Linked DNA regions of Oryzias latipes. The protein of the gene in region 1 binds, or shares a complex with, the protein of each later gene. Links are inferred from orthologs where the notes say so. Each region holds a gene or a part of one and is shown on either strand. Other genes may lie near its edges. The genes, in order: XK-related protein 8 and bsg.

Evidence for each region.
Region 2: the proteins of XK-related protein 8 (region 1) and bsg are in contact, whole or in part, in a cryo-EM structure (PDB 7DCE), measured with the Homo sapiens proteins. The link is inferred for Oryzias latipes from reciprocal best matches to the Homo sapiens genes XKR8 and BSG. Residues at the interface, in NP_060523.2 of Homo sapiens: His232, Leu236, Val239, Leu242, Trp243, Leu246, Gln247, Arg280, Gly283, Arg284, Ile287, Phe291, Ser294, Asp295, Leu298, Ala301, Thr302; in NP_001719.2 of Homo sapiens: Trp326, Pro327, Gly330, Ile331, Glu334, Val335, Leu338, Val339, Ile341, Ile342, Phe343, Tyr345, Glu346, Lys350.

Annotation. Positions count from the first base shown.
Region 1 is NC_019869.2:19,746,032-19,755,883, forward strand, and holds XK-related protein 8, read right to left. Parts: upstream 5,000-9,852; 5' UTR 4,715-4,999; coding exon 4,389-4,714; intron 4,039-4,388; coding exon 3,851-4,038; intron 3,459-3,850; coding exon 2,767-3,458; 3' UTR 2,072-2,766; downstream 1-2,071. Other genes in the region: serine/arginine-rich splicing factor 6, read left to right, coding at 7,448-7,554.
Region 2 is NC_019862.2:7,109,828-7,119,637, reverse strand, and holds the start of bsg (basigin), read right to left. Parts: upstream 5,393-9,810; 5' UTR 5,246-5,392; coding exon 5,182-5,245; intron 3,511-5,181; coding exon 3,160-3,510; intron 667-3,159; coding exon 501-666; intron 1-500. Other genes in the region: E3 ubiquitin-protein ligase RNF126, read right to left, coding at 9,762-9,810.

The DNA.
Region 1 (9,852 bases):
AGTCAGCTGTGATACCGCATCATATGCACGTTGTAAAACGTGTCTTATCATAGAGAAGTAGATCAAGATCAGTGATTCTGGGAGGAGCTGTCTGAAGGGAAACACTCACAAACCGAATTCAGGAAAGAGTGTCAAGCATCTGTTCGTTCATCAAACGGAAATGGCTGTTGGGTGTCAAGTTTCCTTCAGTCTCAATAATCAGAAATGCACACAACCTGTGGCACAAATACACACACTCTTGTGTGCCGTGCACCTTCAGCTCTGACATCAGTGTAGTAGAAGCTGGAGAAAGTCTAAGAGGCCATTCGATTGGCTGAAAGCGAGCACGCCTGCTTTCCTGATGAGCTTGATTGACACATTCATTAGCCAATGGTGACATTAGTTGACCTGCAGCGTGAAGGGAGTCTCAATACTCACCATAGAAAAATCTCTCAAAAATGCGGGGAGATTCACAAATGAGACGGGGTTTGGGAATGCACATTCTAAAATTTGCACGATCTGTGAGTTCATATTACAAGTGTAACGAAAAATGATGTTGCTGAAGCAGTTATTGTGCATTTCTGAAAAATTTATTGTGAATTGCTGAAAAATTTAATAATAAATTTAATAATATGGAGTTAATTCAGTCTTAATAATCAGAAATGCACACAACCTGTTTCACAAATACACACGCTCTGATTCACAAATATAATTTTACGCAAACGTGCAATATTAATTTGGAAATGCACACCCTGTGTTTCACAAACACACCTGTTGTGTTTCACACATGCACAATAAGTGTTTCTCACAAATGTGCAGGCTGTGTTTGACAATAACACAATAAAGTTTTCCGTTTAAACCGTTTGTACGTTTAAAGGAAATTTCCGTTTAAAGGAAAGCAGGCGTGCTCGCTTTCAGTCAATCGAATGGCCTCTCAGACTTTCTCCAGCTTCTACCACACTGATGTCAGAGCTGAAGGTGCACGGCACACAAGAGTGTGTGTATTTGTGAAACAGGTTGTGTGCATTTCTGATTATTGAGACTGAATTAACTCCATAGACACCGGATCCCGCGGAAAGCTACACCGCTAAAGACGAGCTTTAGCTGTTATTTTCGTTGGAACTGAGCGACTTTATGAGCAGAATCAGAACAAGGAAGTGAAGACTTTAACCACTTCTGATTGGTCAGAATGATAACGTATGATTAGGGGCCCAAGAATGATTGGTGGAAGCATTTAAAGGGGCGGGACTTTTCCGAAAACATCTGAAGCTACAGCTAAATCGCTGTACCGTCATTCTTATCAAAGTGTCTTTAATAGAATCAAATAAACAGAAAGAAAAAGGTCTTTTACGATCTTTCATATTCCTAACTACTCTGTGTTTTATCAGGGCCTGTTTGGATGAAAACAGAGCTGATATCCTGGAGATGGGAAATGTTTTTAGATCAGTTAATGAGGGCAATTTCCCATGGCACACCTGACCATCTCCCACGGCACACTGGTTGAAAAACACAGATGTAAACTATGTAAAATGTAGAAACAGGGGCTCCGGAGCTGCTCTAAAACAGGATGGGAGGAGATGAAATAACATGTAATGCATTAAATGATGGCCAAATTAAGATAATATATGGGAGCAGTACAGAAACGGTAGTCATTTTATAGGAGAATGGGATGGCAGTGGGACGGGACAGGATCATTTCTAAACTTGGTGACTAATATCAACATTTGTACGTAGCTTAACCCTTGTGCTACCCTAGGCACTTTAACATTGGGAGCTGGGTCATTTAGACCCACTAGACAGTGCGTTGAATCCTTTTTCGTCAATGATTTGTGATCTTAACTGGTGTCCATGGATTACATGAAATCCTCTCCACCTTGATCCACCTTTGTTATGGTAGGGATAACACGTCAATGTAAGGATCGGGTCATCTGGACCCCATAGGATACAACAAGGGTTCTGAGGCTTGTACTTCAGGATCAGATGGATCTTCTTTATAGAATCAACAGGAAAACGGTTAACCCAATTCTTTCAAAATAACCAGTTCCCTTTTTTGTATCTGCGTTTTTTACCTCAAGACAAGATAAATGGTCAAATAAAAAATAAACAAGTGGATTTGATTGCTTTTCGGGGGTTTGGAGACATGACAAGCATTTCTTCTGTGGTATTTTAGGCTCTGCGAAGTTGAGTCATGGCAACTGGAGTAGAAATCATGTTCTTTAAAACATTTCTCCATGGCAAACCTTCACCAACGCTCTCTCAGGTTGTGTTGCAATGTTCATATCAACAACTAGTCAGGCTAAGCCGCCAAGTCAATTCAATCATTTCAGTTAACTCATGACTGAATGTTCAAGAAAGCATAGACATAAAAATGCATTCGCCTGAAGGGAAGGAAAGAGAAGGTATGTTTGGTTGCCATGTTTTCATCATCATTGTTGAACAAAATAAGTCGACATTTTTGCACTCTTTTCGTAAAAGGACATTGCCTTAAGGTTACAATAAAGTGAAGCCAATATTTTCCTCTCAACCTTTTTTTGGTTGCATTTTCAGGTACAAATATAAATCTTCATTTTTACAAACATTCATGAACACATCCTTCTGCTTACAGGTTACCTGCATTTTCAAGAGTTTCATTAAAAAAATAATTGGATAAACAAACTCCTGAGTTATTGTTCACTTTCATAGAAACGCCTGTGTGTCTGCAGGCGTCACTGACAGGAAAAAGTCTGGACGACCGCTTTGCCTGTAGGTGCCATGGCAACGCCTTGACTGGGTGTGTGGCCCCTCCCTTTTAGTAGAAGCGGGCAGCGTGGTGTTCCATGCGCTTGTTGAAGATTGGGGCGGACACACTGTCATCCTGGATGGAGAAGGATCTGAGGGTCACTTCAGAGTCTGGCAGGTCGTTGGGCAGCCTCCCCTCAGTCGGTGGGGGCCGCCACAGTTTGGGGTGGAAGCAACAGTAGTAGATGGCTTTGAAGAGCAGCCCGAGCAGGTAAGAAAGCGGCAGCGCAATGATCAGGGCCAGGCCGTACGCTTCTGTCTGCGCCGCGTCTCTCAGGTACCACCAGGTGACCAGAAGGAGGCAACAGTCCGCCGTCATGAAGGAATGGTAGATCAGGCTTCTGACCCGGGTGTGGCCCTCCGCCACATTGAACCAGCTGAAGTACCAGATGAGTCCGACGGTGGCCCGGTATAGCCACTCCCCCACAGCGCTGTCCATAAAGTTTGTCTGCTGTTGCCACGCCCACAGCAGGAAGGCCAACCACAGCAGCAGGAAGTGGGGGACAATGAGCAAAGGTAGCACGGACGAGAAGAGGGCGAGGGCCGCCACGCGGGGACCAATCAGCAGCAGGTTCCACAGGAAGTAGACCACTGAGGAGCCCCACCCCTGCTGGGCTTTGTCCGGGAGGAAGGAGCGCAGCGAGCGGTGGTAGTCCAGAACCATCCAGGCGATGGAGGTGGTGGAAGCAGCCACGCTCACAACTGCAGACACGAACGGCACAAGTTAATTCCACAAGAAGCGCATGAGTGCAAAACACACAAACACAACAGGAAATGCAGCACACAAACGCAACACAACGCAAGACAAGATACATTCATTTCTGAGGTAAAGTTGGGTCATTCTGAATTGCTTTTTGGACTGGAGACTGAGTTGACAGTGTAACGAGCTTTCCAGTGGTTACCTTCAGAACTGAGTTGGTTCCAGGCGATTTTATTATCAAACATGCTTCAAATTCACTAGGACGACATCTTGGTTTTACATGCAAGTGGGGATCTGCATTTTGTTTAGGTGAACTTAGTTGTTGCTGCGCATCCATCGTGTTCGTACGATTTAACCAGCTGGTTAGAAAGACAACAGTGACAACTGGACTCACACTGAACGACCCGGGCCCTGTTGGTGCGCAGCATGACATACATCATCAGGATGAGCTGAGGCGCACTCTCGCAGAACGTCTCGAACAAGCGGAGCATGCTCAGGTCGTGCGTGAGGTAGATGGCATACTCCGAGCCCTCCTCCTTCCTCCACCACACCCTGAAACCCTGCCGGATGGCTGAGATGTGCCTGAGGCGGGAAAGCAGAATTGATGGGAACCGGTTGATGCTTCAGTTAGTCAATCATAATTGCTCAGACTTCCTCTTTACACCTAAAACAAAGGATGTGCATTTACATCATGTGTTGGGAAACAATCATCATGTGAAGAAGTTGTCAGCCTTTATGATCCATGTTGACTCCAGAACCCTGATTCTGTTTCATATAAATAAAAACGCTCCAATGACTAAAGGTTAACATTCATTTCTTAGTTGAAGGATAATCCTCATCACTTTTACTTTGAGTCAGTTTGGTTCAGTGTAAACACCCACAGCTGGAACCAGATCTAGATCTGGATCTGTGTGTATCGCTGCGGGTCTGACCTGCAGAAGAAGCCGAGTTGCAGCACGTGCAGCAGGCAGAAGATCTTCACTCGGTCCCCGCACAGCACGGAGTTGGTCCCCACTTTGCTCCCGAAGCCCGACAACTTCCGGTCATACACGAACCAGAACCAGCTGAACATTTGCACCACGACCGAGGACAGGATCATGAGGCCCACCAGCACCCCGAACCAGGAAAGGTCCCCACGGCAGTAAAACTCGGCGGCCACCCACAGGTCGGAGCCCCAGTCCATCAGGAAGGTGCAGACCCCGATCACGGAGAAGGCGAAGTCGATCCAGGAGTACCTGGGGAAGCAGCCGCGCTGCATGGCGGACCTGTTGCTGTGACGAAGCTAACACTCGGAAACCATCCCAGACCGTTACTCCCCGCCCCGAGGCGCCGCCGAGCCCGCGTGCCCGGGCGATCGGGAAAGTTCGGCAAACTTTGGAGACATTGGAGCGGTTCTCTGCGGCAGACTGAAGTCCGGACACGAGCTGAGCGGGCGGAGAGTCCGAAAGGTTACGAAAACAACCGGCGGAGGTTCGTAAGTGTTCAAGCCCCGCCCACCACATATGTTCAGTCCCGGGACCTAGGGAAGTTCATTTCAAACTTGGACCTTTTATTATTAGGTATTATTCAGATACTTGTTTTATATGAATTTTTGAAATATTATTTATTTTCATGACTGGTAGCAGGGTCGTCTCCAGGAAATTAGGACGGGGGTGCGGGGTGGGGTGAGAGGGTTCAATAAACATTTAAAGGCAGAACACTAAAGAGTCTTCTGGCAAGTAGCTCAGTTAAGGTTTAAGTTTAACTTTGCAAATAAAACCATTTTACTCATGAATACAACTTATTGATCTATCGATAGATAGATAGATAGATAGATAGATAGATAGATAGATAGATAGATAGATAGATAGATAGATAGATAGATAGATAGATAGATAGATAGATAGATAGATAGATAGATAGATAGATAGATAGATAGATAGATAGATAGATTATTCTTATTACTAATATTATTTAGCTTTTTGTGTTTTTGAAAAGAAAAATCAAACATTGACAAATATAAAATTTAGCAATATAAATAAAGATAACTTTGGAGTCAGTCAAAATGTGCAGCAAATAAGGTAATGCAAAAAGTTTACAAAGTATTTATCAAGGACACAAAGGATTCTTGTAAATCTGCTGCATGTAGCCACATGTGGGCCTAAGTCTGGGTCTCCTTGTACCGGTTGCCAGCCCGGATAAAATGCAGGGTTGTGTCAGGAAGGTCATGTGCCGGGTATTTAATGTGGGAATCAGTGAAAGATGATTTGCTGTGACAACCCCTGAGGGAATATGGTGGACAACATCAGAAAGTAGCTGATTAGCAGGTACTTCCTGAATGTGCAGTTCCTCAGAACACCAGCGGGGGCAGATTTCAAAGAGTAACACGCCTCTTGACTCCTAATTGAATGTTAACCCTAAATCAGGGCTGGCCGAACCTGATCCTCAAGAGCTTCAACCCTGCCTGATTTCCAGTTCGTCCAGGGAGAACTGGAAATCAGGTGCATTTAGTCGGGATGTGGAATCACTTGAGTCAGCCAATCAGCAGAAAGATGGTCAACAAGAGCTGGCAAGCAAGCAGGATTGTGGCTCTCAAGGACCAGGGTTGACCAGCTCTGCCTTAGATTAATCCAATGTACATTCTGGTTTCTGAAAGCCTTTTTGATGTTTAAAGATTCAGTTAGGAATATTGACAATTGTTGATGGAGAAGGTATTAAAATTATTATTTATTAATCAATGTGCATATTTTGAGACGTGCTATTTTAATTGCCAGATTGTATGTGTAAGCCCAGCTCATTAGCGCTATGCAGAATCAAATGAATGAAAAAATCAAATGTCCAGTCTATCCATGGACAGAATTATTTGGTGCTCTTCTCCAATGACTTTAAGATTATTTGTTAAAACTACTCTTTTTTTAATCAGCACATTTTGAATTTTAGATATTATTTTTTGTTACTTTATAGAATCCATATTGGTTTCTTTATCCTTTTTTTCGTTTTGAACTTCCTGTCAGTTTTGATAGGTTTTTAACAATGTTAGACACAGACATGTTGCCTGTCTTTGCATATATGTTTGAATGTTTTGTAATTTAAATTTGCCCTCTCTGCAAGGCCTTTTTTTATTTATTTTTGAATGTAAAAATGTGGTTTTATAGTAGTTTAGCATCTTTTATCCTGCATTACTATGCTATTTTTATATATGTATGTCAACTGTCTTCGGTGAATGTTGAAAACTATTAAATCTAAACTCACATTCCTTATAAACCATGCTGCTGTTATGGTCTCACTAACATAATTTCTCACAAATGGACACAATACCTGCTCAAACCATCAATATTTACTGTCTTCAATAATTAATGTACCCCAGATTTAGGAAGATAGGTTGCCAATCAATCATTACCAACACATGTTAAGAAATTTTTCTTTAATAATTTCAAAAAAAAAATAATCTTTGTGATTTTGTATGGGAAAATAAACTGCATCCACTGCTGCCTTGTATACGTTTCGTCCTGAGAAGCAACTCAGGTACAGTTCTTGAGTATTTTTTATGTAAAATATATTGTGTCAATATTAATATCAAGCATGAATAAAAGTAAAAGCTATTCTTCAAAGTTTTTGTCATAAAAGGTTTCGACGTGTGTTCAGCTTTCACTGATTTCTGAATTATCCCCAAGTTTTTAAAGATTGCACGAGACCACAAAATCTTCTTTCAGTATTTTTATGATTTATTAACAACCTCTTCAGAAATTAGCAAAAGTTTCTTTCTTTATTTTAAGTTTTATAACCAGAAACTCGGTGAAAATGTTCCGGGAAAAAACACTAGACTTGGTGAAAGGCGGCATGTGAGGAGAACTCCTTTACCTGAAGGCTAAACTCAGGGCACCCAAAACCCAACAGGCCCCTCCCCCTCTGACGGCGCCCTATTGTATGAAAAGAGCTTTGTGCAGCCTTGCTTCTCCGCGTGTTTAGCTAGTTTGTTCGGGCGCGTTTTGATTCTTCGGAGCCGCAGAGGATGTCGCGGGTGTATATCGGAAGACTGAGCTACAGAGCCAGGGAAAAGGACGTGGAGAGGTTCTTCAAAGGTTATGGAAAAATCCTGGAGGTCGACCTGAAAAACGGGTAACGTTTTGTGGAAGCTACAGGCCTCGCGGAAAGCCGCGCGCGCACGGCCTCGCGGGTGCTTGCTAGCAGGCCGGACCTGCCGACATCGTCAGAATTATCAGCTTTTATTGAACTAAACACGACACCAAAGTGATTTAATGCTTATTGCAGTATTATTTAAACAATTCCCTGCTCTTTTGCGCAATTAAAGTCCGGTTTTCGGTTCAATATATTAAAGTTTTGAGCATCATTAGTTAGCTCCTTCAGGCTAGCATAAGACGTGGCAGAGGCGGAAAAAGACCATCCGCGACGTTTGGGGTTTAAAAAAAGAGCAGAAACCGGCTAAATTCTTTGTTAAAGACAGATTTATCCGATCGGTTCTGCTTCTTTAGTTCGTGCATCTGTTTCAATAATCCTCCAACCAGCGTCCGTCTCACCGGCCCCGTTACAGTCAAAAGCGCCCTTAAAATCTGCACGATGCATGTACCATTGACTGTCTATGTCAATGCATGTCTATGCAATCAATGCAATTCAAAATGTTTCTATTTTTTAAGATTGGAGATTTAAGCGCAAAGCCTGTTTACATCAAATATCCACATTTTACACAACCTGCCACAATTCTAACAAACCGAATTATTTGCCCTCATTTTGTTTGTACCCAACATGATGCATTGTATTTAAACATTTTTTGTCGTTATCTTGAAATATTTGCAAATCAACAATTCAGACCCTGTTTTCTAAAAGGTCATGGTAATATATTTTTTCACTAAATTTTTTTCAAGTTTGACATATTTAGGTTTGTGATTTCCTTCCCTCTATGACTATCTGGAGATAAGAGCTTGTTATTGTAAAGATCAGGCTGGAGAATACCAGGCCTAAAGGCCTGGTGTGTGCATGGTGTCTAGATATTCACGTTAGGCTCATGGCTCATTACCTGGGTCAGGTGCATCCAGCCAATTAGAGCAGACCACAGCAGGTAATGTTGGGGAAAACAAAGCACGAATGCAGGCCTCCATCTGTGCTAGTACGTCGGAGTTGCATCTTGTTTTGAAGCCATAAATTGTTGATTCTTCAGGTGTCAATTCTATGATGGATTTTTAGAGCTACCGTGGAAAAAAAATGACAAAGTTGTAAAATTGAGAAAAATAGTCATTGTTTTATGAGAATAGTCATTGAATGTGTAAAAAATGTCTTATTTTATAGGAATACCATTATTACTTAATAAGTTAGAGGTTGAGAATTTGGAGATTAAAGTCACACATTTGAGACAAAAACAATATTGTGTTTCACTATACGAGATGTAGAGCACTTTGTGTTTAGTTTCAGCGTTGGTTTCACAAATAAGTACGTCTTTTAGTAAGTCGTCATTGCTTTATTATAGCTATGAAGACATTAAAAACTGAACCTCTTCAGAAAAAGACTCTTGACCCCAAGAGTGAATTTTTGGCAGCAGTACAGCTGCAGTGGTCCAAATGCATCATGGAACATGGATTCTTATGATTAACGAAAGCACACGTGTCAAACTCAAAGCCGGCGGGTCAAATGTGGCCCATCATGTCGTTTTATGTGGCCCGCGAGAGAATAAAGGGTTTTAATTTATAAAGTAAAAAATTTAGTTAATTACATATTTATGTGTAGTTGATGTAATTATTCAATGTTTGCAGGTATTGTGTGTGTGTGTGTATTCAAACTGTTGTCATCAGTTGGATGAAAGGCAGTGTGCAGCCTTTTTTTGTAAAATGTTACACGTGTAATACATGGTCTTTCTAGATCAGTTTTATGTAATTTTTCTTTATTCAATTGGATGGGTTATTTAACATTAAGGAGTAGTAACATTTATTTTTCATTACATTTAGTTACATGTATAAGTTTTATCCGGCCATTTGAGGACAGACACTATGCTGATGTGGCCCTCAGTGAAAATGAGTTTGACACCACTGAAATAAAGCCTTATGGCATCACTATAAATGGGTATATTGGTGGATATAGTTGTAATGTGGATGGACGTTTATACAACCAACTTTATAAAAACAAAAGCATGGCTTTTCCTTGTAATTCTGACCTTTTCTCCCTATAATTTTGTGAGTGTATTCTCATAAAATGTCAACCTTTTTATTTCAGTTTTGCAACTTTATTCTCATATTAGTTTGCTTTCTTTCTCATACTATTATGACTTTATTCTTTTTTATTTTATGTTTTTCTTTAATGGGGGTATTGATACTTCCTTGTAAAATTCCCTGCATCTCCAAATATTTTCTTTTTTAGGATCTTTCACTGCCTAATATCTTTAAAACCGTGATTTTCCTGCTTGTTTGA
Region 2 (9,810 bases), on another chromosome or scaffold:
TTGTCTTTTTACCATGAGTGTGGTGTTTTTGGTCCAAATGTAAGAGTTTCTGCAGAGCGACAGGAAGTCATTAAAAATTGCCGCAGTGGCTCACCTAGCACGATTTCTACATCAGAAATACGATCTTTTTCAAACAGTATTTTTTTCCCTTCGGCTTAAAACACAAATATAGTGTACTTATAGTAAGCCTTTTTGTTATGTAAATAGGAAATTAAGGTCAGGAAAAAAATTGGCGCCCTTTGCCCTGGAGTGAAGCCGAATGTCTTCACGGTCCATCTATACATCATGGATGCAACCAGAGGCAGAATAGTTGGGAGCAGCAAACCAGAGATAGAAAACTAGATGATGCAACAGCACTTTGATGAGAGAGAAAGTCTAGAAAGTATACATTCTCGTTGAAGGAATGCGTTTTTGTAAACCATTTCAGTTGGACAGGAAATTCAATGACAAGAGAAACTGCACATCTTCCCATTCAGCTTTTAGCTGCTGCATTTTCTTACCGATGAACTGCATAATTAGTAGCAGAAGCAGACTTTGAACCATCAATGAGTTTGCCGTTGTGCGTCCAGAAGGATCCAGAACTTTGGAGGCTAGTGCTGGTCAAGTTGCAGCTGAGACTGGCAGAAGTCTGGTTGACCACATCAGGAGATTTCAAGATACGTGGCTCTTCACAAAACAAAACAAAAAAAGACCATATAAAACAGCTCCATACACAGCTGTATAATCACCATTTATGTCACCCACGTGAATGTTGTTAAACACAAGCATTGGCCGTTCCAAATCGTTCCATATTTACAGTAACTAATGTGTAAATATGGGCCACAACAGACGGTTGTTGCTATTCATCCTATTCTACTCAAAGGAGGAGATGGAGAAAGCTCCTCCAAGTGACGAGCTTTCTCCAGTTGATGACAAAACAAAAAGGGAAGTGGAAACAATGCTACAGAAGGGTCACGAGGGTGTGTGTGTGAGGTGTCTTCAATACATGCAGAAGAAGCAACAAAGTTTGCTAAACAGTAGAGGTTACAGCACAGCAATTTAACCTTAAATCAAATGTTTTATTTCAAATACAAGCGGGAAGACAGAAAGAAAAATGCTGTGTGGATGCACATATTTTACAGTCTGTTGTCTTCTTCTGAGCTAATGGGAATCTAAACTAGAAAAATGTCTATAAGCAGAGGAAAAAGGAACGTTTCCAGTGTTAGTAAGAGGAAAAGAACCTTTTCCACCTAACAGCAGCGTAAATCTAGACATTTAACAACTTTTGTTTTTAAAACATCAAAAGTATGCGTTTTACTTTAACAAACTGCAGTGATGAAAGTCAGGCAAGGAAAAAATCCCTGAACTTTTCTTTGAGCGATATGGCGGGCACAGAGCGAAATTTTGGAAAAATACGTGGTCTTAGATGCATTCTGGTGCATTCTGGCAGCTAGTTATTCACTTCTTTATCAAGAAACTAAGACTAATTGGAGCATCATGATTTGTCATTCAAACCCCTAGTTTGACTCTCCATTAAAGACTTGCTGGTCCTAAAAAAGAATTTGGAAAATTGCTCAAAGTAACACAATCCTACAATCTACGCTTTTCCTTAAAGCTGCAAAACATACAATTGCTAAAATATAGTAACATCAAAGCCCCAAATGGCAAAAAGAACACCAGTAACTATGATATTCTATGAAAATACCTCAGTTATTTATACATTATTTCTGCTTTAGAAATGACTGATGTACAACATCCACTTGCACTGTTTTCTCAAACTATAATTACATCAAAATATGGGATCTGCTTTAAACTATAATTCTATAACATAATACATCAATTCTTTAACACCAATACTAAGTAATCTGGGAAATATCAAAACAAACATACAAACTAAGCTAAACATTGTAAACATTATTTTTTAAGGGAGTGCGGGTCCAAACCATCAAATACTTATAATTAATGTCAACTATGGTTTGTGGCGCCTTCCGTCCGTGAAACCCGGGTTCGACTCCGGGCTGCTCCCTGTTCCCTTCTCTACCTTTGCCGGTTCCAAGCCCAGTTTGAGAAGGTTGCGTCAGGAAGGGCATCCGGCGTAAAACATTGCCAAATTTACCATGCGACTTGTTCGCTGTGGCGACCCCTGATGGGAGAAGCCGAAAGTGGAAGAAGAAGAAGAATGTCAACTATACTGAACTAAATCGTGGTAATTAGGAAATACAAATAAATTAGATAAAGAAATGTATTCAAAATAAAAACTGAAACTCAAAACTAAAATTGAAATTATTTCAAAATGTGGTTTTGAGATTATTTTACACAAAAAAGTATTTGACCTACACTACCTTAAAAATCTTTTTTTTTTTTCCAGCCAAGACCACTTCAATTTGTTTTTTATCGTCTTCTCACAACTGAGGTCGTGAGCACGCTCAATAATGACGATGCCTGCCATTATTTTAACACAAATTTGATCGCAAACTCTTCAGATGTGTTTGTGAAAGTTTAGCGTGGGTCCGCCAGTTTTGGTCTCTAGGGAAGCAAGTCACGCTGACCACGTGGTGCAGACAGAGCCAATCAGACCCGTCGACGCATCCGAAAGCAACTAAAACGTCCCGTCATTGGTCAATTAGGCCGGGAAGACGAGAGATGGCCACGACCATAGAGGAAGCGATCTGCGGAGAAATATAGAAAATAAAGCTAAAATTAGCTGATTTCAGACCATTTTTTAATCCGGAAAGCGATTTGTCCGTAGAGATCAGGTCTTTATTTCCCGGAAAGTACGTTCGGTTTGCTCAAAAACCCGGATTTCCGGGAATTCCCGGAAGACTTTCATCACTGAAACTGCCAAATTTCCACCTCAGTCCAGTGTTTCATAGATTTTATTTATGGAAAAAGATATAAAAATTTGTAGGAAGGGTTACTTAAGGCATCAGGTTGAAGGAAGAAAACGTTCGCGTCGGGTGATAAAGGATCAGCCAGAACAGGTTTTTTGGCCACTTTCACCTTCTACAGGAGAGCTGTTGTGCTTTTGGAGAGGGGAGAACACACTAGATGAAGGGAAGGGAGGGAACTGGACCAGACAACAGGACAGTTGTGTGGACAGGATCTAAGAGGTCCACAACTTCACTAATGCAGATATGACCACTCTGACCCGACTCTCCTCGGGGTTCTTCTGTCACTCACTTTCAATCACAATAATGTTTGCCTGCGAGCGGATCCACTTGATTTTTGGAGTCTTCTTCAGATCATTGCGGTCGGGGTCGTTGGAGGCACGACACTCGTACGTGCCCGTGTCCTCAAGGGAAAGTCTGGTGAGGTGAATGGTGCTTGCGGCGTGTTCGATATATGTGGCGTTGATTTTTACACGGTTGTTATGAGCCCCATCAAACAGCTGGGTGAAAGTCTCGTTGGACTCTTCCCCTTCAACAAACCACCACTGAACTTCTGGTATGGGGTACCCTATCACCTCACAATGCAGCTCTGCACTGGCATCGATCAGTTTCATTTGAGACAGGGGGGATCGGATAAAACCCGCTGATTAGCAGCAGACCCAGCAAGCAGATGAATTTAGAAAGTGATGAGTTCAAATGGGCGGATGATAAAAATGAAATGTTAGGGAAGAAAAAGAATACAGAAAGAGAAAGAAAAAATGTTAAAATGAAAATATGACAGCAGACAGATGAATAAGGAAATTTTATCACATTGACTGATTCATCTGACTAAATTTGGAATGATCAAAGCAGACATCAATATAGGATAAATAAATAAAAAACAGATAATTATGGTAATGAGCACAAAGAGCTTGATGATCATCCCTAAAATATATATGACAAGAATGGTAGCAACAGAGCATTCACTCAATGACTAAACAAAAAGGTAAACAGAGAAAAATGTAGGAAGCACATTTACTGAGCTGGACCGAGGAACTTAAAGTAGGTTAACAGGATTGTTCATCAACTGAATGGGGGCTCTGTTTGGAGCATATCTGAGCGTGGAGACTGCAGACGACACATTCTGGTTTATAATTAAATATTTTGAAGATGAGGCTGCAGAAAACATCATCTGAGATCTGAGTGAAAGGTTTGAGAACAACAGAAAATGAGGGGAGGAGCTCAGTCTGCAGAGCGTGACCACATTCCTGTGTGGGGATTAATAAGAAAACCAAGTCATCTGCTGACGAATCTCATCTTTGGGGCAAAACAGACAAACTGGAGCTGTTGAGAGGGTGTGGTAATGCTGGTTATTGTCTTAACACCCCCCATTCAACAAACTACACTTGTAATGGCTTCCTGCTGTTGAAAGGTCACCTTCACAGCAAAGGCTTTTTTTAAAAGTTCAAATTAAATATAGCCCACACAACATTCACTCCTCAATCTTGACAATGCCATTTATAACAAAGCTTTATTTAGATATGCCGTGTAAAAAAAAAAAAAATCTCCTACCAGAGAGCAGCAGACTTCGTTTATCCAGGTTTAACTTTAAAGGAGAATGCTTCAGATGCTAGTTTTGTGCCTAACACTGCAAACTATTAAAAGATAGGGTGCCCGATGAAGAATTACGGTTCTTTTCCTAGTTTAAATAATGAAAATGTTAACCAGAGTACCAAACGGACACAGATTGATCCTCTGGGAAAAACACGAACGTTTTGTTTGTTTGGATCGGTTTTCGTTCGGACATGAGTCGGGAGTCCGAGAACACCTCCCCGGACGCCGGTGGAGGAGCGCGCGAGACAAATACCGCGTGACCGTCGTCCTTAATATGCCGCTTTCATCGAATCCACAGCGAATGGTCGCCATTTAATAACGATAATCACTTCAAACATTACGCAATTACGAATACACCGGACGCTCACGTGATACCAAACATGTTGGTGTTAAATATTCCATGTACCACATAGGCCATTACGTAAGGCATTCTGACAACAAAATACATCTAAAATTCATTTTAATCAACAAACAGACAGAAAATTTTTCTGGGTCGCCAACAACAACTAGCTAATGTCTTGCTAGCCGAAACGTCGATTTTATAGAACCGGTCTCTAGGGAACAATGTGTCCAAACCGTACAGCCCCACGGTGGGGATTCTACAGGTTTAATACAGATGTCTAGCTGGTATAACATCGGAAATTTAAACTGCTAAAGTCAGAAAAAAACATGAAATGTTAGCGGTAGGGCAAAGTCAACATGGCCGACATGACTTTTTTACCTGTGGCGGCGTTAGCGCGACAACAGCCCAGAAGGAGGGCGGTGACGGCCCACAAGAACTTCATGGTCTACTGCGGAAACTCTAGTCCGACCAAAGAATCGAGACGGTCGGTCAGCTCAGCCTCCTTCCACAGTGAGTCTAACGTCCAACGGGCAGAGCCGGCAGACCACTCCGCAGACTTCGTCCTCTCCTATGACTTAACGGACACGCCCTTACCAGCACGTATGCGTGACGTCATCATAGTGGGTGTGGCTTTGAAATCCTATAAGTTTCGTGTTTTTGCCTTTTTTTTGTTTGTGTAAGCGAACCATACATATTTGTTCTATTTGTGTTGAATAATAAAGTTTATTAAAAAAAATAAAACAAGCGAACCGTAGACCCTGGAAACTGTCAGGCGAGGTTAAACCGCGGCGTTCAGATTGAAGGCTTCAGAACAAATCAAGTTTAAAACCTTTGAAAGACCCACTCCGATGAAAATTGTGTTTTAACATGCTCTTATAGTATTTTTCTGATGACGAAGGACGCATAGAAAGAAAATTAAGATTAGAATTGCAGTGCTGAGTATTTTGTTTTGTTCTTGTTTCAAATCGTTGTGAATCAACAGCAGGCGAGAAAAAAGCAGTTGAAAAAAAATTGTGTTGACGTAGAAAATACGCTGGGCACGCCACAAGCTGGACTACATGGTAGTGTAGTGGCTCTCGCCTCATATCTAGAAGGCCCCGTTTGAATCCCGGTTGTGACCTTTCTGTGTGGAGTTAGCATGCTCTCCCCGCGCATGCGTGGGTTTTCTCCAATTTTCTCTCACAGTCCACACTGGTTAATTGTTTCCTCTAAGGCAGGGGTGTCAGAATTCAGCCCTCGAGGGACGGTGTCCAACATGGTTTCCATCCAACTTGTCAGTGAAGCTTCAAATTGGCTAAACACACCTGATACAGGTTAATCAGTAGCAGATAAGGCAGGATTTCTGGAATACTAGCAGCAGACCAGCCCTCCATACCAGGGGTTTGATACCCCTGGGGGGAATTCCAGAAAGCATGTTTAAACTATCCTGACTTTAATCCTGAACTCTGGCTGAAATCCGCCTGAACTTGCTTACTCTGGGTATGTCGGTTCCAAAAGACCGGATATGAGTTGGCGTAATTACGCTTGACTTGGTAACCCTGGGTTAACGCACGTGCACGTCAAGTACATAAAGTCATTCTCAATGGATCGCCGATTTCCGGAGTCACCATGGAAAGGCGTGGAGAAAAAAAAGAGAGCGCTGTACTTCAGTGAGACGGAGTCTGAGATTTTACTGACGGCGTATGAAGATTATTATACGTCCATCAATAAATTAATACGGCTGCATCAGCAAAAGAAAGAGTTTCTGCTTGGAGAAAAAGAATGGACAAAGTAAACACAAGAGTTTCTGATCTAATTTTCATTGTGACGCATATATAACTTATCCAACTTAAATTAATTCAATTGGTTACAAGTAATTGAGTTAAATTTATTCAACCTAATTTCTTACGTCTATCCAACTCAATATTTTTTTACAACTCAAATTTACATTTTTATCTAACTAAATGTAATATTACTCCAATTCAAATAATAATCTTCATTTATTGTAATTCTTGAACTCTCAAATGTCTAAATTTGAGCCTGCAGATATACTCATTTTTATAACAATAAAATGAATGAAAAAAATACATATAAATCACAAGGAATATTCATGCCTCTGAATTATTCGTTACACCGCGACAAAGTAGGGGTGCTATATAAACTCATCATCCTCTCCCTCCCTCTCACTCATGGTGCAGAAAGGATTCAATATAACAGTACAAATAACTGTGCAAAACAGCTAAACAACTAAACACATTTGGTCAAAAATCAACACTCAAACCCAAATCCGTCCAGACAGGCAAAGGGAATGGTATCCCACAATCCCTTGCGGTGTCGATCTAACAGCAGCACCAAAGTTAGATCTACTTAATTGAATTGATTTGAATGAAAGCAAAATAAATGTCTGATAACTATGTGTTATTTTTAAGATGACTTAACTAGAATTGATTTATCTTAACTAAAGCAAATAATTAAGTCAGAGCAAAGTAAAAAAGTTTATTTTTCCAACATCCATATGTGGTGTAATCACCCTCTCACGGTGGAAAAAGTATTATCTGAGCTTCTTCATCCACTAAATCATCTTCAAATGGACACGCCATGCTGCTTCACCTCTCTGACAACAAACTAACCTTCAACTAAACCTGCTCCAGACCAGGTTATGTTAAGAGCTTGAGTTGCTATGGCAACTTGACATATCCTGAAACATACCTCTGTTTTTGGAACCGAAAGCAGTGGTTGTACTTCTTTAGCCTCAAACTTACTGCGGGAGCTAGCATTAACCTGCTTTCTGAAATACCCCCTGATATTGCTCGCTGTATGTATTGCACTAATGTTAGCTTGGGGCTGTGAGCTAGCAGGAGAGCATGTAAACAGAGAGCTCTCAGCAACAGGTGAATGGTAAGTGGACTTGCTCTGGGCAAACCGTCCCTCCCACAACTCTGATGAATATTTGATGAACTTCTGTCACTTTGCAGAAACTATGTTCTTGAAAACAACACAGGTTTTTAGATTTTGGGTATAAACAGCATCAACATAATTAAAAATCTACTAGGAACAATTTCAAAATTCATCAAAAGATGATCAAAGTGGGACTTTAAACTCTTTGGAATTGAATAAAACAATATAAACTGCCTGGAGTTTTCACACGTACCCATTTGCATTTTTGATGTCATTTATTTAAGAAGAAAAAACCCAATAAGAATACCATGTGTTTTTATACATTGCCCTGTGAGCTTAAGAAAATAAATCTCCTTAAAGAAATCTCCTTATTTCAGCTTTCCACATTTTAATCTGCAGTTATTTTGATGATAAAAATGTTTGACCTCTATTCATCTGTCAAAAAGAAAAACATTTAATTGAGGGAAATCACCTGCAGGTAACTAGAGAGAGAGAGATGACCTGAATCTATAGGTCCTGCTGACCGCATACTGTAGATGACTGACTGATGGCACATTCATTCCCTAATAAAATGGCTGTCATGAGAGCAAATGGATGAACATGCAAGGAATGATGGGAATCCTAACCTTTGAACATCTTTCATCACAGCAGCCCTTACAATCCTTATTCTCTTCTGAATAAACAAAAGTCCATGTTTTGGTCACTAACTGCGGTCTTATTCGTAGCTTAAAAATGGTGACAAAGTCTCACAATAAGGTGCAATTCATCACTAATTGTTAAAGTGCTTTATAAATAAAGTTTGGTTGGAGATTTACATTGTCAAGTTACCTCCCCAAGTCTCTAAATCAAACCTGCCCCCCCACTCCTAAGAACAATCCTGAGACTCAGGCCTTTGATGCTAAAACCCCGGGGTACCAGAGAGGCACAATGCAGAGCAGAAACACCCTCACGGCTGAACAATGAATGGAAGTAAAATGTAATTCTCCTCTTGATGTAGAACAAACCCGAACGGCAGTGACGGATTTCAGACGGAGCTTGTTTACTCGTGCAGTTCTCCCTTTGAAGGACCATGACCTGAAAACCTTCTTATCCATTGAAAGTCCACAAGTGTTCGCTAAAGTGTTTATTGTTCCCAGCTGCTGTGCAGCTCTGCAATGCATCAAAAGAAACACCATTAGAGTGGAAAACAATCCTGCCCTCAGAAAATAAATACATAAAAGCATGTTTTCTATTGATTTGTTTGAGCGGGCTATCTTTCCACAGATTTGACTGTGATCACGCTCCAAAAAGCTGATCTAAAAAGCATCATGGCCATAACAGACGTGCAATGAGCACCCAATGATTTCATTTCAAAACGGTTTAGTAAGGAAAATAATTAATTTTGTCTTAGAAATTTCAGAAGCTGTCGTCCAACTAAAATGCTGTGACGTTTTTCCAGGTGCAATCTGAGAAAGTTGAATGCTTTTATTACATTTTAGATTCATTTTGCAATTTGCAAATGTAACTTAAACAAAAATAAATGCGATCTAGTGGAAACAATGGTATCGGTTAGGTCATCTAAAAACATCAAATGGGTCTTTAAAACAAAGTAATGAAATCAGGGACTGGAAACAAAGTTCAGAGGATGATGATGCACGTAACCACTCTGCCAGATCTAACTGCCTTAAAACAAAAAAAGAAGAACCACGTTTTTCTGCACCACTGCCAAAAGTGAGCCCCCTTCCAATAAAGAAAATGATTAATCGCTTGCTGTGTTGTTTCTAGTCTTCTACCTTTGGATTTTTTTTTTCATTTTCTCTCCTTGTGAGGGGCTTCAAGCAAACCGATCCTCACCGAGGGTCCGTGCTTCTCCACATCTTCACTGTCGGAGGTCGCATTCCCGGCCTCCGCCCTTCCACTGTTCACATTCCTGATGAAGGTGGGGGCACAGCAACCACCAGAGATACATAGCGAGATGTATCGCTTCCCCCTGCATCGGGCCGGGTTGTTGTAGCGAGATGCTGGGGGGAGGGCCGCAGCCTCGCATGGGGGAGACTCGGTCGGAGCTGGAAACTCACAGGGACGCACAACCAAAACCCTGTCTATGAGTTATCCGTGGAATTCTCATTGCTGGTGGACGTCGATGACTGA